4 linked regions of the Elephas maximus indicus genome follow. The protein of the gene in region 1 interacts with the protein of each later gene in a pairwise test. Links are inferred from orthologs where the notes say so. Each region holds a gene or a part of one and is shown in the gene's direction. Other genes may lie near its edges. The genes, in order: SH3GL1, EEIG1, GPKOW and MTA1.

Region 1 (7,753 bases):
CTACTATGTGCCAAGCATTGTGCCAGGTGCTGGGACCCAATGGGGAGTTGAGCGGTGGGAGAGGCGGGCAGTCTGGTCTTCCGTGGTTCACCCCACGTTTTGGGGGGCCCGCTGTGTGCCAGACAGAAAGACCCTTCGACAAATACGGGGTGGGGGGAGAAGGCAGCTCATCATTTTGCATAGCAGGCAAGATCAGCACCGCGGGGATCTCAGCTCTCTGACACTCCCCACCACCCTGCCCTCTTACCTGGACTTGCCCTGACCCGCAGACGTGTGGTCTCGGGCCTCAGTTTCCCCACCCGACCAGAAGGTCGCTGCAAGGCTCAGGGGCCCCATAAGCACTCGGTAACTTCCAAAAGCCGGCCTTTTTGCCTCCCTGGGCCTCAGTTTCCCCACTTGGACCGGTCACCCCCCCAGAGCCCTGGAAAGACGAACTGACGCAAAAGCGCCGGAAAAACATGGTCGCGGCCGCAACAATAACGTCAAGCAGGGCGCCCTGCGGGTCACAAGGCCCTTGGTCGGGATTATAACGGCCGGCCCCACGGGCTGAGCGCCCGGCGCGGAGGAGCAGGCCCGGAGCCCGGAGGCCCGGAGCCCCCAGCCGCCGCCTCGGCCCTCACAGGCCGCGCGCCGCGCCCCCCCCTTCCCCCGGGCCCGGACCCGGACCCGGACCCGGTCCGACCACCTGCGGCGGCTCCCCTGGCGCCCGGCGCCCCGCACTCCGGCTCCTCCAGCATCGCTCCGGCGGCGGCTCGATCCCTCCTCAGGCGGGGGAGGCGGCGGAGGCGCGGGCTCCCCTCAGGCGGCCGCTGCTGCTCGCCCTCCCGCCCGCGCCGCTGCTGCCGCGGCCGCCGCGCTCGTATTTGGCGGGAACCGCGGCGACCCCCGCAGAACGCGCGCCGATTGGGCGAGGGCGCGTCACGTGATAGCCCGTCTCGGGAAGAGGGGAGCGCCGGGAACATCCTCGCGAGAGCCGTTGCCTCCATTCCTCCCATGGCTCGTCTATTGATATTCCCGCGGGCGGGGGAACTTTCTCTCGGCAGCCTGTCATTGGCTGAGAGAACATGCCCTGCGATTGGCGAAGGAAGGTGTCAAGCTTAGAGATAAGCACTGTGATTGGCTGAAGTGCGTGGGATAAGTCGGCAGGGGGGAGGGAGGGCCAGGCTTAACGTCATGACGCGAACGTGTCACGTAAGACGCCGGGTGACAGCTTGAAAAACTGCGGTTTAGAAGACGATCTGAAGTTTTGAGTTTAATACCCAACAGCAATTAATATTACAAATTACTTGTTAATGAGCAATAAAATAAAAACTGGGCAGCGCTTCAGAGGGCTTTGACATGTAGTAAATATATTCGGAGCGAATGAAATGCAAGTTTCGGGTTAAATTCTCGGGACATGCTGTTTTCTCTGCCTAAAACCCTCTTTCCGCAGCTCTTTCTAATTTGTACCTAACCTTCAGATCTCAGGTAACACCTCAGAGAAGACTTTCCCTCTCCACCCCCAACCAGATCAGGCATCTACAACACTTTTTTTTTTTTTTAAGCACTTAGAGATTCTAAGTGTCTACTAAAAAAAAAAAATTTTTATTTAATTTTCCAATTTAGGATTTCCAAGGCTATAAATCTTTACAGAAGCAGACTGCCAAATATTTCTCCCACCTTTCAGTTAGCAGCCTAAGAGCTTAACCACCGCTACCCCAGGACTTCTACATACATAGTAGGTGCTCAATAAATATCTGATTGAATAAATATCATTTGATTGACCTGTGGAGATCACGCAGGTTAAAAGCCTCACACAGAGGAGACGCTCAGTAGAGATCCTCAGTGTCAACCTGCAATTCTTAGAAATAGGTTTGCTTCAGCACTCATTTAATGTTTGAGAGAAACAGGGGTGAGGAAAGATGGGAAATTTAGCCTGAGTTTGGAAGTTTATTGCAGTAGATTGGATAATTAAATCGGTAGAACTTGTTGAGAGAGGAGCATTGAGAAATAGGAAATTGGGGAATATCATTTCAGTCAGGTCATGTCACATGACTCAGGTTTCTCCATCTGGATCATGAGGATGTTTTCCGTCCCGTCTCTAACATTCTGGCATTCTGTGATGATTTAGACCAGTGGGTCACAGCTGAGGGTGTATGTCAGAATCACATGGGAGGTTTCTCAAACTATTCATAACAGCACCACCTAGTGCATAAGGATCTTGGGAGTGAAGCCAGTACTGAAAAAACTCCTGGAGATTCTGAAGCAACCTTCTGACTAATCTAGTCCAGCATCTCTATTGAGCCATTTGGAAACTTCTAACAACCTTCCGCATTCAGAAAATCACCTAAATCTAGGAGATTTCGGCATAGAAGTTCCAAGTACTTTGTCCCTAATCACATTCTTGCTATTCTTTCCAATTCATCTCTAATCCTTTCGATAAACTCTCATTGTGTACTCTCTGTGTGTCAGGTCCCCTCCAGATGCTGGAAAAAAATTCATTAATTTATTCAACAAATATTGATTGTCATCAGGCAAGGTGCTACTACAATGCTGAATAAAACCTTTGTCCCATGCCTCCAGGAGATAGGCCCATCAGCAGGCTCTTCCGCCATTTGATGATACATGTCATGGTAGTGCCGGGTTTCTCCACCTCAGGACTGTTTACATTGGGGGGCAGATCATGCTTGGGGAGGGGGCCTATGGATTGCAGGATGTTGAGCAGCATCCCTGGGTTCTACCCACTAAATGCCAATAGCACACCCCCCCTCCCGAGTTGTAACTACCAAAAATGTCTCTAGACACTGCCAAGCGTCTCCTGGGAGGGTAGCGAATCACGTCTGGTTGAGAATCACGGTGGTAAATTGTCTTAGTTATCTAGTGCTGCTATAACAAAAATACCACAAGCAGATGGCTTTAACAAAGAGAAATTTATTCTCTCAAGTCTGAATTCAGGGTGCCAGCTCCAGGGGAAGGTTTTCTTTCTCTGTTGACTCTGGGGGAAAGTCTTTGTAATCAATCTTCCCCTGTTTTAGGAGCTTCTCATTGCAGAGAGCCGGGCCCAAAAGGACATGTCCCCCTCCTGTTGATTGGTGGTAGGAGGTCCCTCCCCTCTCTGCTCCATTCTCTCTTTTATAGCTCAAAAGGGATTGACTCAAAATACAACCTAATCCTATAGATTGATTACTGCCTCATTAACAGAATTACCTCTAATCCTGCCTCATTAACATTATAGAGGTTACGATTTACAGCACATAGGATAATAACATCAAATCACGAAATGGTGGACAGTCACACAATACTGGGAATCATGGCCTAGTCAAGTTGACACACATTTTTTTGGGACACAATACAGTCCATAACATAAGGGTATAAACATAAGGCAGTTAGCAAAGCTACCCTGTATTTACCGCATTATAACATGTCTTCAATTGAGGTATTTGGAAATGCCTAGCAATCTTCTTCCTTCAGGAAAGCACTCACACCTTTCAGAGATTTAAGCATAGAAATCACAAGCCCTTTAGCTCTAATCACTTTCTTGGGTCTCTTTCTGATTCATTTGGTCGTTCCCATTCATTATTCATGTCCAATTCATTCAACAAAAATTTTACCAACAACAATTGATAAAAACAATATCAACAAACATGTGTCAGATCTGGGAAGGGGTCCTGGAGGAGGTGCCATGCCAAGCTGCGTCCTCTTTTATGCACAAAAATCCGCTACCATTGAGTCACTTTCAATCATAGTAACCCTATAGGACAGGGTAGAACTGCCCCATAAAGTTTCCAGGGAGTCCCTGATGGATTTGAACTGCTGACCTCCTGGTTAGCAACCGTCACACTTACCACTACACCACCAAGGTTTCCTTTTATGCACAAAGGACGGGGGAAAGACTGGTGAAGAATATGCAAAAGAAAAACAATCTTAGCAAAGGCCCATAGGCATCTGGGATCATTGATTATGGAACAGGAAGAGAGTTGAGGTCAGAAAGGTTGGTGAGGCCAGATTATTCAAGTTTTGCAGATGGAGTAAGAAGTTTGGAATATATCTTGAGGGCAGTAGGTGGATTTTAAACGGGGGAATGATGCGATCTAAATTGTGTTATAGAAGCATCTTTATGGCTGCCTTGTGGGGAATGATTTTAAGGTGGGGACACCAGCAAGGAGGCTGGTGGAATGGTCTGGGCCAGGGCAAGAAGGGCAGTGGGGATGGTGGAAAGGAGGTAGACGCTAAACACAGATGTCTGACTTAGGCAAATGAATGGATGAACACAGAGCAGGGTGGGGGGAGGGGCTAAACACACAGAGGAATTGGGAATAGCCGAGGTTGTTGTTGCACGCTATGGTCAATTTCAACTCCTAGTGACGGCATGTGACAGAGTAGAACTACCCCACAGGGTTTTCTAGGCTGTAATCTTTAGGAAGAAAATCGCCAGGCCTTTCTTCCGCGGAGCTGCTGGGTGGGTTCAAACTGCCAACCTTTCCAGTTAACAGCCTAGACTTTGACCGTTACACCACCAGGGATTAACTTCTCAAACACCCCCTCTCCCCACTTCCAAGGTTTCAGTGCCTATCCTAGGAATTGAGGGACACCTCCGGGACTGCAGGGGAAGCTGCAGCTGCGACGTCCCCTCTAGGCTCGCACTGGGCCACTCGCTGGTGTGGGCGGCCTCTTCCCAAGGCTGCCCAAACGCGCGTGCGCTCCCCGGCCGACAGGGGGCGAGCGTGCGCAGAAGAGGCCGGGGGGAGCGGGGGCCGGCGCCGGAAGTGTGCGGTTGCCATGTAATATCCTGGCCGCGCGGGCGCGCGAGGGCTGAGGCGGCGCAGCGGCAGGCGCGGAGCTGGAGAGAAAGCGGCTGAGGCGGCGCCGGAGGGGCCGCTGAGGCGCGCGGGGGTCGGTGGCGCCCGGGAACTTGTCGATTAGGCGGTCGGTCCGTCCAGGTCGCTCTGTCCGGGCGGGAGGCCCGACGGCGGGAGGCAGCATGTCGGTAGCGGGGCTGAAGAAGCAGTTCTACAAGGCGAGCCAGGTGAGCGGGGACCGAGCGGGGACCGAGCGCGGAGCGACAGGCTGCCGGGAGTCCGGGGCCCAGCCCAGGCTCGGGAGGGGGCCGAGGTGGCGGCCTTGGCACGTGTCCCCCGCAGGGTGGGGGCGCCCCGGAGGAGCGGGGGGCTGCGAGGGGGCGCAGGCCCTGCCCGCCATGGGGGCTCCAGTGTCCTCGAGAAGGGTGAGCAGAGACGGAGCAGAGCTGCACCCACAGTTGCCCAGGGACGGGCACCTCTCCCCTGTGAAGTTGGGGTGGGGGGGCGCGGAGAAGGGGAAGCACTGTGCTTGGAGGCTGTCGACACCGGAACCTACTCTTGCCAGATAGCCCGGGGGGCAGGGAAAATCTGTATCTAAAGCAATTTTTAAAAAATCCTTGTGGCCGAGCTGGTCCAAACCGGAAAGGGTAAAGTTAGACTCCCAGCCCGTCCCTCTGATCCCTCTCCCCAGAGACAAGGACTGTCACGGGTTTCTTACATCTCCTTCCAAAGATGTGTCTGCACCGTTACTTTAAAAGGCACACACAATGGCTCTGGTTGTTGTTAGGTGCCACGAAGTCGATTTCGACTGAAGTTAGGCTCCCTCCCTATCCCTCAGGCATCCTGTCCGTCTCCCCAGGGACAAGGACTGTGTTACCCATTTCTTTTGTCTCCTTCCAAAGATGTGTGTGTACCTTTATTTTAAAAGGCACACACAATGGTTGTTAGGTGCCATGGAATCAAGGTTCGCCTCATAGTGACCCCACGTGACAGAGTAGAACTGCATGGTAGGGTTTCCTAGGTTGTAATCTTTGTGGGAGCAGATCGCCAGGTCTTTCTCCCGCAGAGCCTCTCAGGCGAGTTCAAACCACCGACCTTTCCCTTAGCAACCGAGTGCTTAACCGTTGTGCCACCATTCTATATGTTCTTGTATACCTTGTGTTTTTCCTTAAATGTGGCTTGGAGATTGCACTAGAGCCGGGTTTATTAGCCTCAGCACTATTGACATGTGAGGCCCTATCCTTCTCTGGGGTGGGGCCATCCTGTGTACTTTAGGGTGTTGAGCAGCATCCTGGCCTCCACCCAGTTGATGCCTGTAGCATTACTTCCAGTCACGACAACCACATATGTCTCCAGACATTGCTAGTGTCCTGCGAAGAGTGGGACAGAATCACCTTCCCTTTCTTTCTTCCTCCTTGCCAGAATGATTGCACTAACCCCCTAGAGCTTCTCGGATCTTTCTAACAGGTATATGTAGTATTCCATCCCATGGAGTATGTCATTGTTCTTCTTGTTGGGTGCTGTCAAGTTGATTCTCACTCGCAGCGACCCTGTGTGATGGAGTAGAACTGCCCCATAGGATTTTCTTGGCTATAATCTCTATCCAAGAGCCTGGTGGCACAGTGGTTAAGTGCTCGGCTGCCAGTGAAAAGTCTAGTTGGAACCACCAGCTGCTCCGCGGAAGAAAGATGTGGCAGTCTGCTTCCGTAAAGATCACAGCTGTGGAAACCCTATGGGGCAGTTCTACTCTGTCCTGTAGGGTCACTATGAGTCGGAATCAACTTGACAGCAGTGAGTTTGTTTTTGGAATCTTTATGGGAGTAGATCCCTAGGTCTTTCTCCGGTGGAGCAGCTGAGCGAGTTAGAACCACCAGCCTTTCAATTAGCGGCCAAGCGTTTAACCATTGAACAACCAGGGCTCCTCTATGGTTTATTTACCTTGTTATCTGTTCGTGGACATTTAGATTATTTTCAGTACTTTTCTGCCCCAAACAACACTATACTGAATAGCCAGTGAGTGTCTTTGTTTGTGGGTAGGATTGGATATATAGAATAAATTCCCAGAAGTAGAACGCTGAATCCAAGATTATATGCATTTTATACCTGACAGACAATATATATATTTTCGGAAAGTCCAAGCCCCGTTGTTTACGGATCTGATGAAAGCTGTGGGTAGGAAACTGGGCAAATGCAAGATTTTGTTTATTAATTTCAGAGGGTCCCTAGCTCTCTTGAAGCCTGTTGTTCCGTGCATCCCGGGTTAAGAGTCCTAGGTGTGGAGTTTGTGTGGATGGACTCCAGGGAGGGATAAGCGATGATCCTAGGAATTGTCTGAGCACCATCCACAACTTGGAGTCGTCAGAAGGAAGAAAAATGAAGGAACATAAGAAGCATTTGCTCTGGAGTTGATTCTGACTCACGGCTCCACGTATGTCAGAGTAGAACTGTGTTCCATACGGTTTTTGTTCTGTTTTTTAATTTTTATTTTGGTGAAAATATGCCCCACAGAACTTAGGCCTGTTCCTTAGTTTCTGCGTGTATAGTTCAGTAACACTCGTTACGTTCATCCCCTCTCCTTTCTCGCTGTCTCTGCCCATGTTGTTTGTCTCGCCATCACTGACTTAGACTCGCTCTCCCCTCAACTTCTCATCTGTGCTTTAGCGTGGACAGTTGGATATCATATAGATAATTCTCTAAAAGAACGCAGTGCTCGTGGTGAACATGCTCTGCTGAGTTAGCTAAATGTTTGTTGAAAGATGATTTTAGGGGATAATTTCAGTTCATAGTTTGAAAATTTCCGCTGAACGGTAGATTCAGGGGTTCCTCTCGTCTCAGAAGGTACAGTAAGTCTGGCATCTGTGAGAATTTGCAATCCTGTTCCTCATTTTCCCCCCTTTTGATTGGGATTAGTTGATCGATGCCTTGAACCAAACGTTCAGTGACGGTGGTTGCACGCCGTCTGGTTCTTCTGGTCT
Region 2 (7,684 bases), on another chromosome or scaffold:
AGGGAACATCTGGCTCAAATGGCATAAAATAGTTTATAAAGAATATGTTCTATATTCTACTTTGGTGAGAAGCATCTGGGGTCTTAAAAGCCTATGAGCGGCCATCTAGGATACTTCACTGGTCTCATCCCTTCGGGAGCAAGGAAGAATGAAGAAAACTAAAGACACAAGGGAAAGATTAATCCAAAGGACTAACGGACCACATCTACCATGGTCTCCGCCAGACTGAGTCCAGTACAACTAGATGGTGCCCAGCTACCACCACTGATTGCTCTGACAGGGATCACAATAAAGGGTCCCTGGCAGAGCTGGAGAAAAATGTAGAACAAAATTCTAACTCAAAAAGAAAGACCAGACTTGCTGGCCTGACAGAGACTGGAGAAACCCTGAGAGTACGGCCCCCGGACACACTTTCAGCTTAGTAATGTGGCCACCCCTGAGGCTCACCCTTCAGCCAAAGACTGAATAAGCCCATGGAACAAAACAAGACTGAAGGGGTGCACCAGCCCTGGCGCAGGGACTGGAAGGCAGGAGGGAACAGGAAAGCTGGTAATAGGGATCCCAGGGCTGAGAAGGGAGAGTGTGGATATGTTGTGGGGTTGTTAACCAATGTCACAGAACAATGTGTGTACTAATTGTTTGATGAGAAACTACTGTGTTCTGTAAACCTTCATCTAAAGTACAATAAAAAATAAAAATAAAAAAGATCAACAGCCCTAGGCTGATTCCTATAGGCAGAGGTCACACATGCTTCCTCATTCTCCCCTTTTTACCAATTCTGACACCAACCGTCCCTTCCATGGCACTCTCACCTCGCTGTGGCTGCTGTGCAGAGACTGGATTGTCAGGGGGCAAAAACAGAAGGAGGCAAACAGGTAAGGAGGCTGTTACAGCCATCCCAGCAGGAGACTCTGGTGGCTCAGACCAGAGTGGAGACAGAGCAAAAGGGAGAGAAGAGGGGCACATTTCTGAGGACATGTTTCAGAGGAAGAGCTGACCCCTTGTTGAGCAATGGTAATAATTATTCAAAATCATGGTCAAGGCTAAAGGAGCCCTTATGTCTGTCTAGCGTCTCAAGAAGGTAGGACATGCCAGGCTTGGGAATTTGGGCTGCTGGGGGAAGTGGAAGTGCTGGGCTGGAGTTTCCTGCTCAGATTCCTGTGTCCCTCCAGGCCTGAGCTTTTCACAGGAACAGCATCCCGAAGTCCTCACAAAACTCTAGAAAGAGTAGTATTGTTATTCCCATTTTACAGGGTTAACTATGGTTTAGAGATGGATAAAGTTTGTGTGACATAGGCAGTCAATAGTGTGCCAGCTGGACTTAGAACCCAGGTCTACTGGCTCCAGGGGAAATGGTCCCAATCATACCATAATGACCCCCCTCCGAGCCTCAATATTCCAAACCAAAGCTACACTGCCCATTGCAGCAGAGCCAGAATTCTAACTCAGGCCTGTCTCACCCCAAATCCAGCATCTTGCCCTGGCACCACTCCTCCCTCACTGAGAAGCGAAGGCAAGAGAAACTTCCTGGGTTCCCAGCCCACAGGCTGCAGGGAGATAAATGCCCAACCCGTGCTAAGTCTGGTAGTCAGGCCCACTCTGCTTCCTGTTGGGGCAGCCAGAGGTTATTCATGGTCACAGCCCAGGAATCAGTCAGGCCTCAGGACATCGTTGGCTGGTTCCTTCTTCTGAAATCTTCCCTGGGGTGAGAAGCCACAGGCTCTACCCCCATGGAGCAGGCTCAGAGAGGGTAAGAGTGGGCGCACAGCTTAAAAAAAAAAAGCTTAGCACTCTAGAAACTGCACTCCAGGGTCAAGACCTTAGTGAAGTGATTTAAACTCTTCAGGCGTCAATTTCCCTTTCTGTAAATGGGAATAAATAGTAGCACTGGGAGTTGCTATTATCATTTTTCTCCCATTGGGTTGTGTTTTCTAAATGATGGGAGAAACTGAGAGAAGCACGGATCACCACTCATTTTATGCCTAGGAAAGCTGAAAGGGGAACATGGGAAGAAATTAGAAACTTGAGTCCTTGGTTACATGTCCAGACCTAACTCATCCCTAAATTCAGCCTAATCTGCCTCCTGAATGCTTCTCAGATCCATTGTCCCGTTCTCCCCCCAGTACTGAAATTCTATCATCATCTCTTGCCTGGATCACCACATCTGGTCCCTCACTCCCGTATCTGTTTCCCATCTCCTCTCCACACTACCTATAGCCAGAGAAAGCTTCTTACAATGAAAAGCAAATCTGACATGTTACTGACCTGCTTAAAACCTGTTAGTAGCCCCCCAGTGCCCTTGGGAAAATCTAAACTCTTCACTCTGGTCTACAAGGGCTCTGTAGGATACGGCTGCTGCTGGCTTTTCTAGTCTCATATCTTGCCTCTCTCTAAAATCACAATGCAGCCATTTGGGACTTGGAACTTTCTGTAGGCACTCCGTTCTCTCTGGCCACCAGACCTCTGTACATGCAGCTCTCTGCCTGGATCCTACATGCATCCTGCAGGTGGCCTGCATCACCTTATGTGAGAAGCCTTCTCTCTGAGCACCCTGTCTCCCCCTCAGGTCCCTCCTTTGAGCTCCCCTGTTGTTGTTAGGTGCCTTCGAGTGGGTTCTGACTCATAGCAACCCTATGTACAACAGAAACACTGTCCTGTCCTGCACCATCCTCACAATCGTTGCTATGTTTGAGCCCATTGTTGCATCCACTGTCAGTCCATCTTCTCGAGGGTCTTCCCCTTTTTCGCTGACCCAATACTTTACCAAGCATGACGTCCTTCTCCAAGAACTGGTCCCTTCTGATAACATGTGCGAAGTACATGAGATGAAATCTCACCATCCTCCCTTCCAAGGAGCACTGTGGCTATACTTCTTTCTAGACTACTGCATGTCCAGTATTACAGCTCTTATCCATCAGATTTACAACTGCCTGTGTCCTCATCTGTTTCTCTATCTTGAGCCTGGAGAGGGCAGGCCCATGGCGCTCATGTTAAGTCCCAGAGCCTGGTTCAGAGCAGATTACCCGCTAAACATTTGGGACCTGCATGAATGAACTATACAGTACGTCGAGTGCCTTCTTTGTGTCAGGAGATACGAGGCTCTGGAAGCAGTCCCTGCCTCCAGAGCAACTAGGTAATCCAGTCAGGGAAACAAGCTATAACTAGGCAAGAAACTAAACGACAGTAAAAGGCTTGGATAACAGCTTGGGATGAAAGAAGCTGGGTCACAAGGTTGTGTCACCTCGGTGAAGCCTATTCAGACACTTTTCAGTGCTCTAAAGTTAAGATTTGGAGACGAAAGACTTGGGTCCAGTCCCGGTTACCCCTCTGCAAGTCAGTTTTCTGAAAAAATGGGACTATCTTCTGGGCCTGAAATCTGCAGGAATACTGGAAGGCCGTTCCAGCGATAGTTTTCATACCGTTTCTCCTCCTCATTGTTTCTTCTTTTCTTCTACTCGCGCTTTCCTCCCTGCCCAAGCAGACCCAGCTCCCCGCCCCGCGACCTCCCACAGCCTTCCCGGGGCCCCTCTTCTTTTCCCTCCGCCCCGCCCCAGCGGAGGAGGCGGACCCAGCTGTGCAGCACACCAATCACAAGGCTCTTAGCCGCCTCTGTCTCCCGCGAGTCCCGCCTCACGCCGCCATCCACCAATCGGAAACAGGGACGCTGCTCCGCTCCCGCCCCGCCGGGCCGCCCAATCACGGGCAGGCTGGGCCGCCGGCGCCCCGCCCCTCCCGCGCTCAGCGGCGGCTCCGCGGGCGGCCGCGCAGGGCCTCGGCATTCTCGCAGCGGCGCCGCGCAGCGTCGGGCTTGGGCGGGCAGCGGCAGCGACGTCGGGGGCGCAGGCGGCAGCGCTGCTGCTCACGGGGTGCTGGGCAGAGGCGGCGGGCGAGGTGAGCGCCACCGGCCGGGCCGGAGAGGTGCCTCAGCTCCGCCAGGGCCCCCAGCGCGGGATCCAGGACCGAGTAGGAGGCAGCGTCCCCGCTGCCCAGGGCCGGGCCCGGGGCCCGCCCGGAGGAGGCTGACGACCGGACGTTCCCGGCCTGAGCGCGGACTCCGGACCGGAGACCCCGGTCCGGAGCGCCCCCGACGTGTCTCCTGGAGAGGCCCTCCCCCGAGCTCCCGGCCGCCCCCTGGGGGTGCTCTCAGCTTACCCCTGCACTCACCTGCGCAGGCCGCCTGGCATCCAGGTGCGGGGGCGTGTGCGCGGCGAGGGTGCCTCCCCCGGCCGCCAACGGGGCGGGGGCGGGGCCGCCCTCAGCCCTCAGCCTCGCCGGTCTCCCAGTCGCTTTCAGTCTCACCGGTCCGCCCGCCGCGCCTGGTCGCGCGGCGTGAGCTCCCCGGGGACCGCGGCTCGGGATGCTGCCCGCCAGCGCGGCCGCTCGCGCACCGCCAGTCACCCCTGCTCTTGCCTACTGGGCCATGCCCCGCTGTTTACATGCCGGTGAAGCCCCCGGCCGCTCCGAGCCCCTCCGAGCTCCGGCCCCCCGCGGGTGAAGCCAGCTGACCCGCGAACTGGACTGGACACTCAGACCCCCACCCGTTCTGCCGCCTCCGCCACCTTTTGGGCGGGATCCTGCTCTAGTGTTTTGAGGAGGGGGTGTGGTGTAGGGAAAGGAATCCTGGGGATTTCTGCCCCCTTTTTTTCCTTGGCCTTCGGGGCTTCAGACTCAGGGAACTCGCCCATGGCTTTCTTGATGAAAAAGAAGAAATTCAAATTCCAAACCACTTTTACCCTGGAAGAGCTGACTGCGGTCCCCTTCGTGAACGGGGTCCTCTTCTGCAAGGTCCGGCTGCTGGATGGCGGGGATTTTGTCAGCTTGTCGTCAAGGTAGGAGCTGGGGGTGGTTGTGGCCCCTGTGGAAGCCTGGTGCCTGGAGGGGAGGGGAGTGATGAGCGAAACACATCCACTTGGCAAGAGTGAAAGGGCCCCTTTGGGGGCCAGGGAGAGTCCTGTGGATTGTGTATGTGTGTCTTCAAGGGATTGCACAATGCTGGACTGGCCGATTGGGAGGCTTGGGCCTGAAGAAGCGGGCAGGGTGCCGGGCTGCAGGTGACCGGCTGGATATCTGGGGGGTCTATTCTTTCAGCCCGCGCTTGGGGCCCTGCATGCAGCCCTCAGTAGACCTATTCTACAGACTTGCCCAATGAGCCCAATGGAGTTTGTGCCTTCAGAGGATGGTAGGGGGAGGGATGCCACCTGGAACAGCCCCCCCACTTGCCCTTGCACCCCAGCTGGCCACTTGAGATGTCATATGATTTAGAGCCTTCACCAGCCGCAGGTTTCCCAGCACTCCCCAGTGGCTGGGAAGGCCTTGGGTGGCTGGAGGGAGGTGACTGGATTTTGGCCCTCCCAATGTGGCATAGTGGCATAGTGGTTAGGTGTTATGGCTGCTAACCAAAAGGTCAGCAGTTCGAATCTGCCAGGTGCTCCTTGGAAACTCTATGCGGCAGTTCTATTCTGCCTTATAGGGCCGCTATGAGTTGGAATCGACTCGATGGCAGTGGGTTTTTTTTTTTTTTTTTTTTTTGGTTTAATGTGGCGTAGTGGTTAAATGCTACAGCTGCTAACCAAAGGGACGGCAGTTCGAATCCGCCAGGCGCTCCCTGGAAACTCTATGGGGCAGGTCTGCTCTGTCCTATAGAGCCGCTATGAGTCGGAATCCACCGGATGGCACTGGGTTTGAGTCCCCACTGAGTCCCTTTCTGGCTAGAGCTGGGCTACTTTGCATTGCAAATATCCTTGTACAGGAGGCTGCTGTCTGCTCTGAAAGAGGCTCTTTCCAGTTGGGTTTTGTGTCCCTCCCCATCCTGGCAGGTCCAGCTGCCCAGCTTATTGCTGAAGGTGACAGAGTTCCTGGACTATGCCCAGCTGGTTGGGTCCCCTCCCCCCCAACCTAGTTCTGGCCTGCTCAGGAGAGACCCTTGGAATCTAACAGATGGGAGTTCAAATCCTGGTTCAATCACTCTCTGGGCCTCAGTTTCCTCTTCTGGAAAACAGGCCTAATACAAGTCCCTTCTCAGAGAGCTCTGAAGTTTCAGTGAAAGATAATGCAATGCAGAGCCTGGTCCAATGCCTGGGACATGCTAGTTCTCTTCCCTGGTATGTCCCTTTGCTCCTTCAGGCTTCCTTGTGAGTTCAGTTAGTCAGAGCTGGCTCACTGTTCAAGGGTGAGGGTGTGTGCTGTAGACCTGGAAACCAAGGCCCAGAGGGAGGAAGAAGTGGCTTGCCAGGAACCTTGCAGGTGGCAGTTGACAATCTAACTTGGCCTGTTTGGGGACCTGTTGGATGAATCCGGAGGTTGAATGCACTGCTGGAGGAAGGGAAAGAAGTGTGTAGCCTACTCCAAGTTTGGGAATCTCTGTGTGGGCAGGATAGGACGCCCTTTCTGTGTGCTCTGGCCGCTGCTGAGGCCTGGAGGCTCCCCGCTCTGCTGGGAGCCACTTATCTGAGGAATTCGGACAGCCTGCCCTTCTCAGTGGGGGCAGGGACCGTCCTCAGTTGCTTGGGAAGCCGGCTGTCTGCAGCCACCCAAACGGGCCTAAGGCTGTGTCCGGAGCTAGGGCCTATAGTCTGCCATTCACTGGCTGTGTGACCTTGGGCAAATTACCTAGCCTCTCTGATTCTAAGAGCCAGCATTTATGGGTGCTGTGTTCCCCATTTTATAAGTACTTCTCATTTAACCCCGTGACTGTGCCATGGAGCAGAGGTGGGGAGGGGAGAGTGAGATTATTATCCTCATTTTACAGAAATGGACACCGAGGCTCTGAGAGGGAGCGACTTGCCTGAGTTGATATGTTGGAGCCCAGATTCATTCAAACTCAGGGTGTGCTTTTAACCACTACCCTGTTCTGCCTCTGAGTCTCAGTCTCCTTTTCTGTAAAATGGGGAAATCAGACCCTCCCTAGGCTTGTGATGGGGAGTGGATAATACAGGTTTCCTCCACTAACTGAAAGTAGAGCAGTTCTATGAAATCTTTCGTAAGCCAAAATGGTGTAAAGTGAAGAAGCAATTACCGATGATTTATATGAGAAAATTTTTTGAATGTTCCCAAGACCCAAAAAATAACCTGCCAAATCATACCAAGTAACACATAAAACCCTTATGATCTCTCTTAGGCTTTTCTGATACCTTTGGACACATCTTGCTAACAGATGCACAAAATAAATTGAGACAAAACAGAGAGGCTTGCAGACACAGTTCAAAGCTATGGCAGCTTGATGATGAGATGCTGAGTGTAGTTCCTGGAGAAGGAGCTTGGCAACCCCACTCTCACTGCTCTGGGTGTGTGCTGGTACAAAACAAATGCTGAACGCTATTTCCGCTTTTCACCTTTTCTTGTAAAAGTGAAAATCCTCTTTGGATTTCTTTTCATTAGCAAAAACACGTACTAACGTAGGTCTTTTGTAAAAGCAAAGTGGCATAAAGCAAACTTTTGAAAAGCAGGGGATACCATATATACCACATACCAGGTAAAGTACTGCAGCAGTTGAGGTTACTATGGGTAGTAAGTCCCAGGCCCCAGCTCCTTCCGTATCTTAGAGTGACCAGGTAGATTCTGCAGGGGGCCTGCATGTGTGTTGAGGGGCAGGGTCTTGGATACCACCAAGGAATTAATATCAAGCTCCAGACTGAGTTTTTGCCTGATCTCCTAGGCCCTGGAGCCTCTGTTCCCCTACCTATAG
Region 3 (7,040 bases), on another chromosome or scaffold:
CTTTCTGGTATTCTCTGCTTTCAGCCAAGATCCATCTGACATCAGTGATGATATCCCTCATTCCGAGTCTTCTTCTGAATCCGGCTTGAATTTCTGGCAGTTCCCTTCATGTATTGCATTTGAATGATCCTCAGCAGATTTACTTGCATGTGGTATTAATGATATTGTTTGATAAGTTCCACTTTCTGTTGAATCACCTTTCTTCAGAATATGCATAAACATGGTTTTCTTCCAGTCAATTGGCCAGATAGCTGTCTTCCAAATTTCTTGGCATAGACAAGTGAGTACTTCTAGGACAGCATCAGTTTTTTGAAACATCTCAATTGGTATTCCTTCAATTCCTGAAGCTTTGTTTTTCACCAGTGCTTTCAGTGCAGCTTGGACATCTTTCCTCAGCACCAACGATTCTTTTTTTTTCATTCCCTGCTCCTTTTTTTATTGTAATTTCAGCAAAAGTTTACAGAGCAAATTCATTTCTCATTAAACAGTCAACTCACAAATTGTTTTGTGACATTGATTGCCAACCCCACAATGTGTCAACACTGTCCCTTTCTCCACCCCAGCTTCACTGTTTCCATTTGTCTAGTTTTCCTGTCCCTTCCTGCCTTCTCATCTTTGCTTTTGGGCTGCTGTGCCAATTATTTTCATATACATGATTGAACTATGAAGCACGTTCCTCACATGTGTTATTGTTGGCGCTATAGACCTGTCTGCTCTTTGACTGAAGGATGAACCTCAGGAGTGACTTCGGTACTGAGCTAAAAGGGTATCCAGGGGCCATACTCTTGGGGTTCCTCCAGTCTCTGTCAGACCAGTAAGTCTGGTCTTTCTGTGAGCTAGAATTTTGTTCTACATTTTTCTCAGCTCTGTCCGGGACCCTCTTTTGTGATCCCTGTCAGAGCAGTCAGTGGTGGTAGCCAGGCACTGTCTAGTTGTGCTGGACTCAGTCTGGTGGAGGCTGTGGTAGCTGTGGTCTATTAGTCATTTGCACTAAACTTTTCTCTTGTGTCTTTGGTTTTCTTCATTCTCCCTTGCTCCAGATGGGGTGGGACCAGTGGAGTATCTTAGATGGCCGCTTACAGGCTTTTAACACCCCAGAGGCTACTTGGTAAAGTCTTTTGATGAACAAAAGTTTTTAATTTATTTGTCCCATTTATTCGTTTTGTCTTTTGCTGTTTGTGCTTTTGTTATTATATTAAATAATCCATTGTTAAAAGCTAGGCCTGACAGAGTTGCCCCTACTTTTTCTTCTAAGAATTTTATGGTTTTATATTGTACATTTTTTGCTTGCATGTGGTATTAATGATATTGTTCTACAATTTCCACATTTGGTTGGATCACCTTTCTTGAGAGTAGGCGTAAATACGGATCTCTTCCAGTCAGTTGGCCAGGAAACTGTCTTCCATATTTCTTGGCATAGATCAGTGAGCATCTCCAGTGCTGCATCCATTTGCTGAAACATCTCAGCTGATATTCCATCAATTCCTGGAGCCTTGTTTTCACCAATGCCCTCAGTGCAGCTTGGACTTCTTCCTTCAGTACCATCAGTTCCTGATCATATGCTACCTCTTGAAAGTTGAACATCAACTAATTCCTTTGGTATAATGACTGTGTGTATTCCTTCCATCTTCTTTTGATGCTTCCTGTGTCATTTAATATTTTCGCCATAGAATCCTTCACTATCGCAACTCGAGGCTTTAATTTTTCCTTCACTTCTTTCAGCTTGAGAAACACCAAGCGTGTTTGTCCCTTTTGGTTTTCCATCTTCAGCTCTTTGCACATGTCATTATAATACTTTACTTTGTCTTCAAAAATGGCTGCAGCAGTATATCGACAGGGAACTGCCAGAAAATCAGGCCGGTTTCAGAAGAGGACGTGGAACCGGGGATATCATTGCTGATGTCAGATGGATCCTGGCTAAAAGCAGAGAATACCAGAAGAATGTTTACCTGTGTTTTATTGACTATGCAAAAGCATTCGACTGTGTGGATCATAACAAATTATGGATAACATTGTGAAGAATGGGAATTCCAGAACACTTAGTTGTGCTCATGAGGAACCTTTACATAGATCAAGAGGCAGTTGTTCAGACAGAATAAGGGGATACTGCATGGTTTAAAGTCAGGGAAGGTGTGCGCCAGGGTTGTATTCTTTCACCATACCTATTCAATCTGTATGCTGAGCAAATAATACGAGAAGCTGGACTATATGAAGAAGAACGGGGCATCAGGATTGAAGGCTCATTAACAACCTGCGTTACACAGATGACACAACCTTGCTTGCTGAAAGTGAAGAGGACTTGAAGCACTTACTAATGAAGATCAAAGACCACAGCCTTCAGTATGGATTGCACCTCAGCAAAAAAAAAAAAAAAAAATCCTCACAACTGGACCAATGAGCAACATCATGATAAACGGAGAAAAGATTGAAGTTGTCAATGATTTCATTTTACTTGGATCCACAATCAACAGCCATGGAAGCAGCAGTCAAGAAATCAAAAGACACATTGCATTGGGTAAATCTGCTGCAAAGGACTTCTTTAAAGTGCTGAAGAGCAAAGATCTCACCTTGAAATCTAAGGTGCGCCTGACTCAAGCCTCGGTAGTTTCAATTGCATCGTATGCATGTGAAAGCAGGACAATGAATAAGGAAGACCGAAGAAGAATTGACACTTTTGAATTGTGGTGTTGGCGAAGAATATTGAATACACCATGGACTGCCAGAAGAACGTACAAATCTGTCTTGGAAGAAGTACAACCAGAATGCTCCTTAGAAGCAAGGATGGCGAGACTGTGTCTTACATACTTTGGACATGTCAGGAGGGATCAGTCTCTGGAGAAGGATATCATGCTTGGCAAGGTGCAGGGTCAGTGGAAAAGAGGAAGACCCTCAACAAGGTGGATTGACACAGTGGCTGCAACAATGGGCTCAAGCCTAACAACGATTGTAAGGATGGCTCAGGACCAGGCAGTGTTTCGTTCTGTTGTGCATAGGGTCGCTATGAGTTGGAACGACTCCACAGCACCTAACAATGACAACATTTTGTACATTAGGTCCTTAAACCATTTTGAATTTTTGTGTGTGCATATAGTGTGAGGCATGGATCCTGTTTCATTTTTCTGCATGTGGAAATCCAGTTTTCCCTAACACCATTTATTGAAGAGACTCTTCTTTTCCCATGAAATGGACTTAGCACCTCTGTCAAAAATCAGTTGACCATAGACTTGTGGGTGTATTTCTGGACTCTCAATTCTATTCCATTGGTCTCTGTGTCTATTGTTATATCAGTCCCAGGAAGTTTTGATTATTGCAGCTTTATAATATGTTTTAAAATCATGAAGCGTGAGTCCTCCTACTCTGTTCTTCTCTTTCAACATTCCTTTAACTATTCGGGGCCTCTTGCTATTCCACGTGAAGTAAAGGGGTGAATTTTTCTGTTTCTGTAAAGAAGACTGTTGGAATTTCGGTCGGGATTCAGTTGAATTTATAGATCACTTCGGATAGTATTGACATCTTAACAATATTAAGTCTTCCACCCCAAGAACATGGAACATCTTTCCATTTATTTAAGTCTTAATCTTTTAGTTTTTTTTTTTTTTAATAATTTTCATTGTGTAAGTCCTTCACGAACCTGGTTAGGTTTATTCCTAGGTTTTTTTTTTCTCTCTCTTACATGTTGTTGTAAATGGTGATTTTTTTCTTAGTGATTTATTTTATCTACACTTTCCACATCAGTAGGGCAAGGTGCTCAGTAAATATTGTCATATGCCTACATGAATGAATTAATAACTGCCAGTGGGTTAGAAATGAATCGCCCTTCCAGCACGTCCGTATAGGTCGCTCTGAGTCGAAGGTGTGTTGTTGTTGTTTTCGTCCAGCACACCCATCCCCTGAAGAACTACATTTCCCGGGATGCTTGTCTTGGCGCCTTCATATGAAGTGCCAAAAGAGCGACATTAGTTGTTATGGCCCCCATATCCGCCGTCGCCGGGGTCGCAGTGTTTTATGGGAAAGGTAGTTCTTGCGCTGTTCGGCCGGCACTCAACGAACAGAGCCAGACTGAACTTCCTGGCAAACAGCCCCGCGACCTGGCAAGCGGGGCAAGATGGCGGACGCTGAAGAGGGTGTTTCGCGGCCGGCAGCGGTCTCTACCGCCCCAATTTCTTTTGGCTTTAGTCGCACGTCCTCCCGGAGGCGGGTGGTGGACCTAGGAGACAGAGCGAGGGCCGCCCCGGAGGAGAAGGATTTCTTGAAGACTGTGGAGGGAAGGGAGCTGCAGAGGTGAAGCGCTGGTTCCCTCACCCCCTGGAAATCGGTGCGGTGGGCTCAGGAGGGATGGCGGTATCTGAGTTGCTTGTCATAGTGAAGGTGGCCTTGAAAGCCTGAAGCACAGCCTGAGGAAATTCGTGGAAGCGAGAAGGCGCGAGTTTGTAGGAGGGGTGGGGAAATTGGGCCTGATAGCGTGGGAATTGAGAAGAGGGGATGTATTAGTGACAGGGAGTGTCTTTAGGACTTGGGGACCCTAAGGTGTGTGCGTTCTAAGAGAGAAAAAGGAGAGGAGGATGACAGGATCCCCTAGTGTCTCAACTGAAGCGATGGGGCTTCTTCGGTATGGGGAACGGGATAGAGCCGCAGATTCAGGTTGAGGGAGGCCATTTATCAGCTTAATACGGAAAGGGGAGCCTGAGGGACCTGAGAGAGGGGCTTCTAGAAGAAGGCGAAGGTGAGCCACTGTGGAAGCCATGGAAGTGGGTCTTGGAATGAACAGAAAGTCCAGAACTGATTCTCTGAAGGAACCATTTAAGAGTTGGAGAAGGAGGAAGAATCCAGAGAAGATACCAGCAGAGACATAACAGGAGAATCATTCAAGAGAATGGAGGGCATGTTCCATGGGGCAGGGGATGAGTTTGACTGTTGTATTTTCTCTGGATAAAGGGATGTGGCTCAGAACCCACTGACCACGTTAACTCTCCCAATCTCACTCCTCTATGTTGGCATCAGTGTGAAGCCCTCAGAAGCCCCTAAGGAACTTGTCATCCCTTTGATCCAGAATGGACATCACAGGCAGCTACTGACCCAGACCCCTGGACCATCCACAGATGCTGAGACCTTAGTGGATGGGGTGCTGCTGTCCCAGGCTGTGAAGGAACTCATTGAGGGTAAGTGACCTCTACCCCTCACCCTGCCCCAATAATGGCAGAAGGGGAGGAAGGGTAGAGTGGTACCTCATTGCTCCCTCCTGTTCTTCCTTAGAATCCAAGAAGTCTCTGGAGGAGAGAGAGAATGAAGGTGTCGACCCCACGCTCGCTATCCCCATGATCCAGAAAGGATGCATCCCCAGTGGGGAAGGGGCAGACAGTGAACCCCAGGCTGAGACAGTGAGCTGGCCCCTTTCCTCTCTCCTGCGCCAGCCCCTCTTCGCCCTATCTACCAGGCTTGCCTCCCTGCAGGAAAAGTCTGTGTGAATTAGAAGCCTGCTGCCTATCCCCTGCTCCTTTTATCCTTTTTAGAATCATTTTTTTAATCCAAATACTGGGGTTTGGAAAAAGTACATGGATTCTTGGGCTAACTGAGTGAGATGTAGAGGAGAAGGAGCAGGAAAAACAAAGGCCCTGAGGTTAGACTCTGCCTGGGGTGTTTGAGGAACACCAAGGAGACCGTGCTGGCTGGAATGGAATGAAGGAGGGGAGGGTAATAGATGAGATCAGAAAGGTAGTGGAGGCTAGACCATGTAGTGCCTTGTGGGCCATGGTAAGGACTTCGGCTTTACTGTGTGTGAGGTGAGAGCCATAGGAGGGCTCCTAGCAGAGGAGGAAGGTGACCTGACTTACAGCTTGACAGGGACCTTCTGGCTTCTGTGAACAGAAGAGACTTGTATGTGAAGGTAGAAGCAAGTGGACCAGTGAGGTGATTATTGCAATAGTCCAGGCGAGAGATGATGGAGACTTAGATCAGAGTGAGGCCTGGAAGGATAGATGAGATTTACTGAGAGGGGGAAGAGCAGGGTGAGTACTCCTAGTGGGAGCAATGGCCTGGCCAAAGGCCGGGTGTCAGGAAATCAGCATGGTTTGTGTCCATCAGGGAGGCAACTTGTAGTAGACCTGGAGCTAATGGCAAATGCAAAGCATCGAGAGGGGTGATAGTGGGAGGTGATAACAGCAAAGGTAAGGGGTGTGTCCACAGAAGTAACCAAGTCTGTCTTTTGTCCCTATGGGCCCCACTTTTTACCTCTTCATTCACAAATGTTTTGCAGTGCCTTTTGGGGGCCTAGTTCTCTTACAGCCCCAGACTACCCTTTCTACTGAACTTTTCTCATCAGCCTTCAAATGTGTTCTGGTTTCATTGCTCTTAAAAACAAACAACAACAACACCCCCACTTCACTGTTCATTCTCTTCCAGCTTTGGCCACATTTCCCTAATTTTCCCTCCTACAAATCTCCTCCCACAGCCTTCCACATATCAATTGTTCACAACTTCATCCTTCCTCTTGCTCAGTCATCCTTGGAGTCATCCTTGAATCTCTTCTTCATTTTATACCCCATATACAATCCACCAGCAAAATCCTCATCTCCCTTTTCAAAATACATCCAGAATATGACCACTTCTCACCATCACTACTACCACCACCCTGGTCTGAGCCCCCATCATCTCTCATCTGGAGGACTGCAGTAACTTCCTCATGGTTCCTCTTCTCAAAACCTGCTTGTGGCTCCCACCATACTCAAAAGTTCTGCCCAGCACTCCTGATAGTCTCTTACTGCCCCTCTCACCCTCCTCCCTGTTCATCTCTGTTGCAGTCATGTTGATTTCATGAGACTTCATGCACACCAAGGCTGGTCTTGCCTCAGAGCCCTTCCTCTTACTGCTCTCTCTGATTGGAGCCCTCTTCCTTCCATATCCTCATGGCTCCCTCCCTTCTCTCCTTCTGGTCTCTGCTTAAATGTCAATTTCTCAGTGATACTCCCTTCTCCATCCTTCTGCATACCTTTCACTTGCTTAATCTTTTTTCATATAACTCATCACTACCTCATATGTCATGT
Region 4 (7,360 bases), on another chromosome or scaffold:
CATGGCAGCCCCATCCCCTCAGCTTTGGCAGCAGCCGTATCCCCTGGCACACTTTAATGGCAGCCCCACACTTCAGAACTCAGTTTGTGAATATCTGACTGTTTGAAACCTAGGAGGTTGTGGCCCCACCCTTTGAGATCCAGGATTGCATGGCCCCATCCTTTGAAATCAAGAAGGCTTTGGTTCCTGTGCTCCTTCCAACAGTAATGCTGATTTCCAAGCTGATCTAGGAATGGTCCTTTTCTTTTCTTGGAGGACAACAAATGTAGCTTCTTTGGCCTTTTTCCTACCTGTAGAATTCCAAAAGGCAAACAGCATTCTTTAGTTCTTTCCCTGCCCCCTTCAGTTTAAGCTAGTGAGTTTTCTGCTGTGGTAGTTGGTTAGCTCCATCAGTCACAGGCTTAATCTCTTTAACACAAGATTGTGTAGCCACATCGTTGGTGAACATTCCAGGACACATGTCCTTAGCTTGTACAACAGAATTTTCCAAGTCTTTAAGTTCTGTTTTCATTTTGCACCATTCATTTTTAAGTCCATCTCTTTTTTTTACTATAAGTGACAAGGAGAAACTATGCAGCTCCTTTAAGATCTTGCTTAGAAATCTCATCAGACATATATCTAAGTTCATCATTTACAAGTTCTACCTTCCAACAAACATTTGAATATAATTCAGACAAATTCTTTGCCACTGCATAAAAATCATCACCCTTCCCCCATTGTCCATCATATGCTCATCATTTTCTTTTAAAGCCTCATCAGAAGCACACTTAACATTCACATTTCCATCAAAATTCTGTTGCTGGTGCCATATGTATCATCTAATTCATAGGGACTTTCTCTATAGCTCTTCTCACTTCCTGCCGAGCCCTCACCAGAATTGCCTTTCATGTCCATAATTCTACCAACGGTCTCTTAAAGGCAACCTAGGCTTTTACTATCAGTCACGTTAAAACTTTTCCAGCCTCTACCCATTACTCAATTCTGAAACCGCTTCCACATTTTAGGTATCAGAGTGGCACCCTACTCTCCTGGAACCAAATTCTTACTTATCTACTGCTATTATAACAGAAAGATGAATAACTTTAACAAACAGAAGTTTATTTTCTCACAGTTTAGAAGGCTAGAAGTTTGAATTCAGGGTACTGGCTCTAGGAGAAGTCTTTCTCTGTCAACTCTGAAGGAAGGTCCTTGTCTCTTCTGAGCTTCTGCTCCTGGGCAGTCTTCATGTAGCTTGGCATCTCTCTTCTCCCATCTCCACTTTTCACATGCTTGTTTAACCTCTTTTAGATCTCAAGAGATTAACTCAAAATACACACTACACTAATCCTGATTAACATAAGAAATACAACCCATTCCCAAATGGGATTATCATCACAGGCATGTTGTTGTTGTTAGGTGCCATCAAGTTGGTTCCAACTCATAGTGACCCTATGTACAACAGAACGAAACACTGCCCAATCCTGTGCCATCCTCACCATCATTGTTAAGCTTCAGCCAATTGTTGCAGCCACTGTGTCAGCCCATCTCATTGAGGGCCTTCCTCTTTTCACTGACCCTCCTTTTTATCAAGCATGATGTGAGACATAGTCTCGCCATCCCTGCTTCTAAGGAGTATTCGGGTCATACTTTTTCCAAGACAGATTTGTTTGTTCTTTTGGCAGTCCATGGTATGTATGTTCAATATTCTTTCCCAACACCACAACTCAAAGGGGTCAATTCTTCGGTCTTCCATATTCATCGTCCAGCTTTCTCATGCAAACCACAGGCATAGAGTTTAGGGCTTAGGACGCATATTTTTGAGGGACACAGTTCAGTCTCTGACATAGCCAGAGCCACTTTCCCAATCCTTGCTAGAATCTTCTGTGTCTTCGGCACCTTTCGTTCATGGCATGAGTTGTCCTCTGTGCCAGTAGCTCACCTGGACATTCATGGCATGAGTTGCTCCTCTGTGCCAATAGCTCACCTGGACATTCATGGCATGAGTTGCTCCTCTGTGCCAATAGCTCACCTTTCGTTCATGGCATGAGTTGCTCCTCTGTGCCAATAGCTCACCTTTCGTTCATGGCATGAGTTGCTCCTCTGTGCCAATAGCTCACCTGGACATTCATGGCATGAGTTGCTCCTCTGTGCCGCTAGCTCACCTGGACGCTTTTTTTGCTAGTCCTGACTTTTGATTACTTTGTTAGGTGTTAGGGGAAAGACATTTTATGCTGCAGCTTTGCTGACTAGAGGGGACGACTCCTTCTTTCACTGGTTTTGGAAACTTTGCCTATATATTATCGTCCCCTTCTGTGAAGTCCCTGGGTTGTGCAAATGGCGAATGCACTGACCTACCAACTGAAAGGTTGGAGGTTCGAGTCCACCCAGAGTTGAGGAAAGGCCTGGCGATCCGCTTCTGAGAGGTAACAGACTTGAAAACCCTGTGGTGCTCATCTCTACTCTGACGCACATGGGGTCCTCAGGAGTTGGGAGGCAACTGGCCTTCTCCTGCACCTAAGCTTCTCTTTCTTTTCTAGTCCCTTCCATCACAACCAAACGTAACCTCGACCCTGGTATCTGAAAGGAAGGGTCCCTCTCCCCCCGCCACTGTCCTTCCAGCTATGCTTCTTGGAGAACTGGTTGTCCTGCAATCCCTACTAGCCCCCCCTGACTGGGTCCAGTCTGGCCCCCTCGAGCCACCAAGACAGCCCTTGTAGCCAAGGCATCGATGAAGCCCCATTGCTCACTGTGGTGTTCCCCTTTCTGGTTTGCCTGGCCACTCCATGGCACATGATGCTTTGACCAGCTCCCTCCTTGGGAACCCCTTCCTGGCTGTCATTCCAGCCCACTCTGGCTCCCTTCGCACCTCACTGGCTCCTTCTGTACAGAACTTTCCGTGGTGGGGGCCCTCAGCGCTCTGCCCCAGGCCCCTTCTCATCCCCGCTCTGTCCTTGGGATCTTAGCACGACCACGGCCCTTGACCATGTCCCTCCCATCCCTTCCTGAACCAGCTCCCTCCTGAGTACCCCCGCCGCCCCAAGGCCTCCATTGGATGTCCCATAAGGATGTTCCTGCTCCCAAAGCCCTCACACAGCTGGGTGAATGGGGTAATAACACTTGTTGCTCCAGCTGCCCACCTGGAGCCACTCCTAACTCTCTTTATCCCTCTCTGACGCTGATGCTGGTCCGGGCTGGGACTCGCCCAGTCTGAGCTGCTGCCTTGGCCATCTCATGCTTCTCACTGCTGGTGGTATCTGGGCCACGGGATTCTCTATTCTCCCCAAACCTTAGCAAGTAAGCACAAAAACAAATACACGGTTACAAATTGTGACCAGCCTTGGGGCAAAAGCTGGGTGCCTCTCTGTGGACAGTGGGATCGTCTCTCCTGGCCTGGACTCTCCTGCCTTCCCTGTTCACTGGGCGTCACACCTCCCAGCCCCACTTTGGCCCTCGTGAGTCAATGAGGCCTTCCACAGGTGAGGCTGCTGGACCCTGGCCTCAGGCAGGGCCTTCTGGAGAGTGACCTCAGGGCCTTACCCACTGCTATTCCCTGCTCCTGAGACAGGGAGCCCTCAGCTGGGATCTGTGGAGTGAGTGAGAGGCAGTATCCTCACCGCTAACATTTACCCCTTATTATGCTGCGCCAGAGGCCCAAGCTAACTGCCCTGGACCCTCAGAACAAGCCCACCGGGGGGCCTGACAGAAGAGGAAACAGAGGCCCAAGACAGTCAGGCACTGTCCACATTAAGATGGGGCTGCTGGCCGTCTAGGATGTCCAGGGAACACCACAGGGCACAGGAACGGGAAGCAGCCTGAGGGGTGGGGACACCGGCTGAGAGGTGGGGGCGCCGGCTGAGGGGCGGGGGCCCGGGATGAGAGGTGGGGGAGCCGGCTGAGGGGTGGGGGCCCGGGATGAGAGGTGGGGGAGCCGGTTGAGAGGTGGGGGCGCCGGCTGAGGGGCAGGGGCCCGGCATGAGAGGTGGGGGAGCCGGCTGAGAGGCGGGGGAGCCGGCTGAGGGGTGGGGGCGCCGGGCGAGGGGCGGGGGCGCCGGGCGAGGGGTGGGGGCGCCGGCTGAGGGGCGGGGGCGCGGCGCGCGGGGTCGGATAACGGCCCGCGCGGTGGGCGGTGGCGCCCGAGGCCCCTCCCCGCGCCGCGCCGCCGCCGGCCGCTCCTCCTCTTCCTCTCCCGCCCGCGCCGGCCTCCCGTCCCTGCGCGGCCTCGGCGGCGGCGGCGGCGGCGGTGGCGGCGGCGGCGGCGGCGGCGGCACAGCGCGGCCCCTTTAAACCGCCCGCGGCCCCCGCCCGCGCCCCCGCACCGAGCCTCCATTTCCCGGCCGCCCGCCCGCCTCCCGCCTCCCGCCCGCCCGCCCGCCCGCCCGCCGGCCTCCCGCCGCCGCCGGCGCGGACATGGCCGCCAACATGTACAGGGTCGGAGGTAAGGCCGCGCCCGGGCCCGCCGCCGCCTTTATCCCCGCGCCGCCCGCGCCCCCGCGCCCCCGCCGCCGCCCCGGCCCTGCGCCCCGATGCCGGCCCCCGCCTCGGCCCCCCACCCCGCCCGCCGGGGACCCCGGCGCCACCCCGCCCCTCCCCCACGCAGGCCCGCCGGCCGCACCCCGCCGCCCGGCACCCGAACGCCCGGCACCCCAACGCCCGCCCCCCGGCGCCCGGCACCCCTGCCCTGCCCCTCCATCTTCTCTTCGGAGTGGCCTGGCCCTCGCGCGCGTCGCCCCGGCATGTCGCCCCGGCCCGAAATGGCCCCCGGAGGCCGGGCGGCGCGCTGAGCCGGCGGGAGGCGGGGGCTCTGCCCACCTGTTGGGGGCCGAGTGGGTGGTCTGTGGGGCCCCTGCGGAGGAGGCGCGCGGAGGCGCGGGCTGGTGGCGGGGCATCTCCGGAGGCACCTGGGTCCAGGGGCTTCAGCTGGGGCCTGGGGCCTGGGGCCAGGGGCTGTGGAGCCCCTCTGGAGCACGTGGCCTTGGAGGCTCCTCGTAGGCACCCTGGGAGCAGGAGTTTTGGGGTCCCCCTGGGGCTGTGCGGGTTGGCCCATATGCTGGGATGGGAACAGGTCCCTCTCGAGGGATAGGGTGCTCATGCGCCCCAAGGCCAGCATTCCTCCCTCGGAGCCCCTGGCACAGCATAGAGTGGCCCCCGGGACACCCAGAGTTGCTTGGGCTGCGTGCTTGCGTGGGGGCCCCACAGCAGTGTCCCCTTGCAGAGCCGTCATAGCACGCGGTCACCCAGAGCTTGTCTCTGAGTTGCCCCAAACTTTTCCCTGGCTCCCACTAACGCTAGCCCGTCATGGAGACACTTTGCAAGGATTGGGGAATGGGCACAGGGTCAGGGGGTACAGCCCCCAGATCTGCCTGTCCTGTGGTTCAGTGCCAGGAGGTCCCTAGCCTGGCCTTGCCCTCGGTTGTAGGGGCTCTGTGGGATCCTGGGGGTTCCTCTGCTCACTCTTTTACAGGGAACTGAGTAGCCATGCTCAGGCCCATGCTCTTCCCTGCTTGGACCCTCGGGTACAGCATCACCCCCAGACCTGCAGCTCTCCACCCCCCAGTCCCTCAGCCTCCTCACTGTGAGGGGCTGGGTGTGGTGCCCTGCTGTGGAGGTGTGTCAGGCCTAGGCAGTGCTGGGGTGGGGGGTGAAAAGGGGATGTTCCGTCTGTCCTCACTGCCCCCCACTGGCCTGCCCCCACCTGGTCACTCTGACCCTGGGTGCCCAGGACGCTTTCTCCCTTTCGCGATGGCTCTGCTGCTGGTGACTCTGGCAGAGACAGGCGTTTGGGGGTCCCCCTGGTCCAGCCAGGCGGGCTCTGACCTTGGGCTGGTTGCTGGCCTGCCGTCCTCACCCCCATCTGTCTTCTCCCTGGAGAGGTGCTGTGTGTCACCAGAGCAGGTACCCTCCCACCAGCCGCACCACCCCCCAGAGATGGGTGCCATTGCCCCTGAATGCGTGGCTTTGGGGGAGCACCATTTGTGGCTCCCTTACTCCCCACCAGCTGGGGTCCTCCTGTGTCCTGACCAGCTCCTCACTGCCCCTGCAGGTGCCCCTCTCCCTCCTCTGGGGTAGCTCCACTTGTCGTGCCCCAGAGCCCATTGGGCCCTGCCAGTACTACCAGCTGCCCAATGGTCCTGGGCTCAATTTCCATTCCACTCACAGGGCCCAGGCTGCCTTCTGCAGAGTGGTCTTCTCAGCAGCTCAGGTTCCCAGTCTCTAGCCCCTGATTTAAGGTCTCCTTGTTGAGTGAATGAATGACATGGTGGCTGGGGGTGGAAGGCCAGGGCAGAGGCCGGGTTCGGATTCCCTTGTGCTGGGCTGGAGAGGGTGGAATCAGGGCCGTGAGGTCACCCCAGGGCCGTTGGATGCTGGCCCCCTTCACCACTGAGCAGGTGCCCCTGGCCCAGAGCCCCTGCCCTGCAGCTTCTACAGCCCTCGTGGCCTGAGCTGGCCCTACGGCTCGCCGAGGGCCGGCCCTTTGGCCTGGGGCTGTGGTGGCGCTGGTGCTTCCAGGGTGCAGAAGGCCCTGGAACGGACAGCCTAGGGGAGTTGGCCCTGTGCAGGCTTCACAGTGTGGGTCCATGGGATGTGCCCCCACCCAGGCCAGCTGGAGAGGCCACCTGCAGAATGTGGCCTCTCAGGTCAGCCCAACCTGGTCCACACCTCAGGCCCCCCCAGGCCTCAGTTTCCCCCACTTGTACGAGAGCTCTGTCTGCCCTCCTGCTGTGTCTGGTTGTGTGCGGACCTTTCTCACCTCTAGGGAGACCTCTTCCAGGGAGGCCTGCCCGACCCTCACTTACCCAGGTTGTAGGGACCCAGCCCTGGTTAGGATACAGCACAGGTTTCCCAGCAAGTCCTGGTTGGGGCCTCCCATCCCTATGTCTGACCCTGGCCTAGCACCTGGTGTGGGCTTGCAGAGTGACCGGGCAGTGCCATGGGGGTGGGCGTGGATCCCCCAGCCATGAGATGATTGGGCCCTCCCTGAGTAAGGGGCTTTTTTTTCCCTTTATTTGTAGACGACAAAGCCGGTAGGTTAGGGTTCCTATCCCTTAATATGGAGCACTGCGCCCCGGCCATGCCCTCAGGATGCTATGGTGCCACAGATGTGCTGTGCCTCACTCTCGGTGGCCATGCCAGGCCCCTGGGGTGTCCGGCTGAAGCCTGATGAAGGCCCTGTGGCCCTCAGGGCCTGGATGAGGGGCCTGGGTCCCATACCCTACCCTCCCAGGAGCCCCCCGAGTCAGTCCAGTGGTTGTCCCACACCCAAGGGTGCCCTGAGGTCCGCCTTGTCACTGCCCCACGTTCAAATGGCACTCCAAAACTGCTGATCCCTCCCGAGCCTGCTTGGCAGCTCCCAGAGAACCATGCTTGTGGACTGGGCCCCAAG

The links.
Region 2: the proteins of SH3GL1 (region 1) and EEIG1 interact in binary tests that used the Homo sapiens proteins (3 or more experiments, as listed by UniProt). The two-hybrid records come from large-scale screens. The link is inferred for Elephas maximus indicus from reciprocal best matches to the Homo sapiens genes SH3GL1 and EEIG1.
Region 3: the proteins of SH3GL1 (region 1) and GPKOW interact in binary tests that used the Homo sapiens proteins (3 or more experiments, as listed by UniProt). The two-hybrid records come from large-scale screens. The link is inferred for Elephas maximus indicus from reciprocal best matches to the Homo sapiens genes SH3GL1 and GPKOW.
Region 4: the proteins of SH3GL1 (region 1) and MTA1 interact in binary tests that used the Homo sapiens proteins (3 or more experiments, as listed by UniProt). The two-hybrid records come from large-scale screens. The link is inferred for Elephas maximus indicus from reciprocal best matches to the Homo sapiens genes SH3GL1 and MTA1.

The regions. Positions count from the first base shown.
Region 1 is NC_064821.1:7,416,081-7,423,833, reverse strand, and holds the start of SH3GL1 (endophilin-A2), read left to right. Parts: upstream 1-4,746; 5' UTR 4,747-4,960; coding exon 4,961-5,005; intron 5,006-5,290; exon of another isoform or gene 5,291-7,753. Other genes in the region: CHAF1A (chromatin assembly factor 1 subunit A), read right to left, coding at 686-962. UniProt on the Homo sapiens protein: Implicated in endocytosis. May recruit other proteins to membranes with high curvature.
Region 2 is NC_064827.1:79,076,782-79,084,465, reverse strand, and holds the start of EEIG1 (protein FAM102A), read left to right. Parts: upstream 1-4,679; 5' UTR 4,680-4,683; coding exon 4,684-4,829; intron 4,830-7,684. UniProt on the Homo sapiens protein: Key component of TNFSF11/RANKL- and TNF-induced osteoclastogenesis pathways, thereby mediates bone resorption in pathological bone loss conditions.
Region 3 is NC_064846.1:122,468,692-122,475,731, forward strand, and holds the start of GPKOW (G-patch domain and KOW motifs-containing protein), read left to right. Parts: upstream 1-4,027; 5' UTR 4,028-4,105; coding exon 4,106-4,281; intron 4,282-5,001; coding exon 5,002-5,159; intron 5,160-5,253; coding exon 5,254-5,378; intron 5,379-7,040. UniProt on the Homo sapiens protein: RNA-binding protein involved in pre-mRNA splicing. As a component of the minor spliceosome, involved in the splicing of U12-type introns in pre-mRNAs.
Region 4 is NC_064828.1:119,710,082-119,717,441, forward strand, and holds the start of MTA1 (metastasis-associated protein MTA1), read left to right. Parts: upstream 1-4,349; 5' UTR 4,350-4,386; coding exon 4,387-4,414; intron 4,415-7,360. UniProt on the Homo sapiens protein: Transcriptional coregulator which can act as both a transcriptional corepressor and coactivator. Acts as a component of the histone deacetylase NuRD complex which participates in the remodeling of chromatin.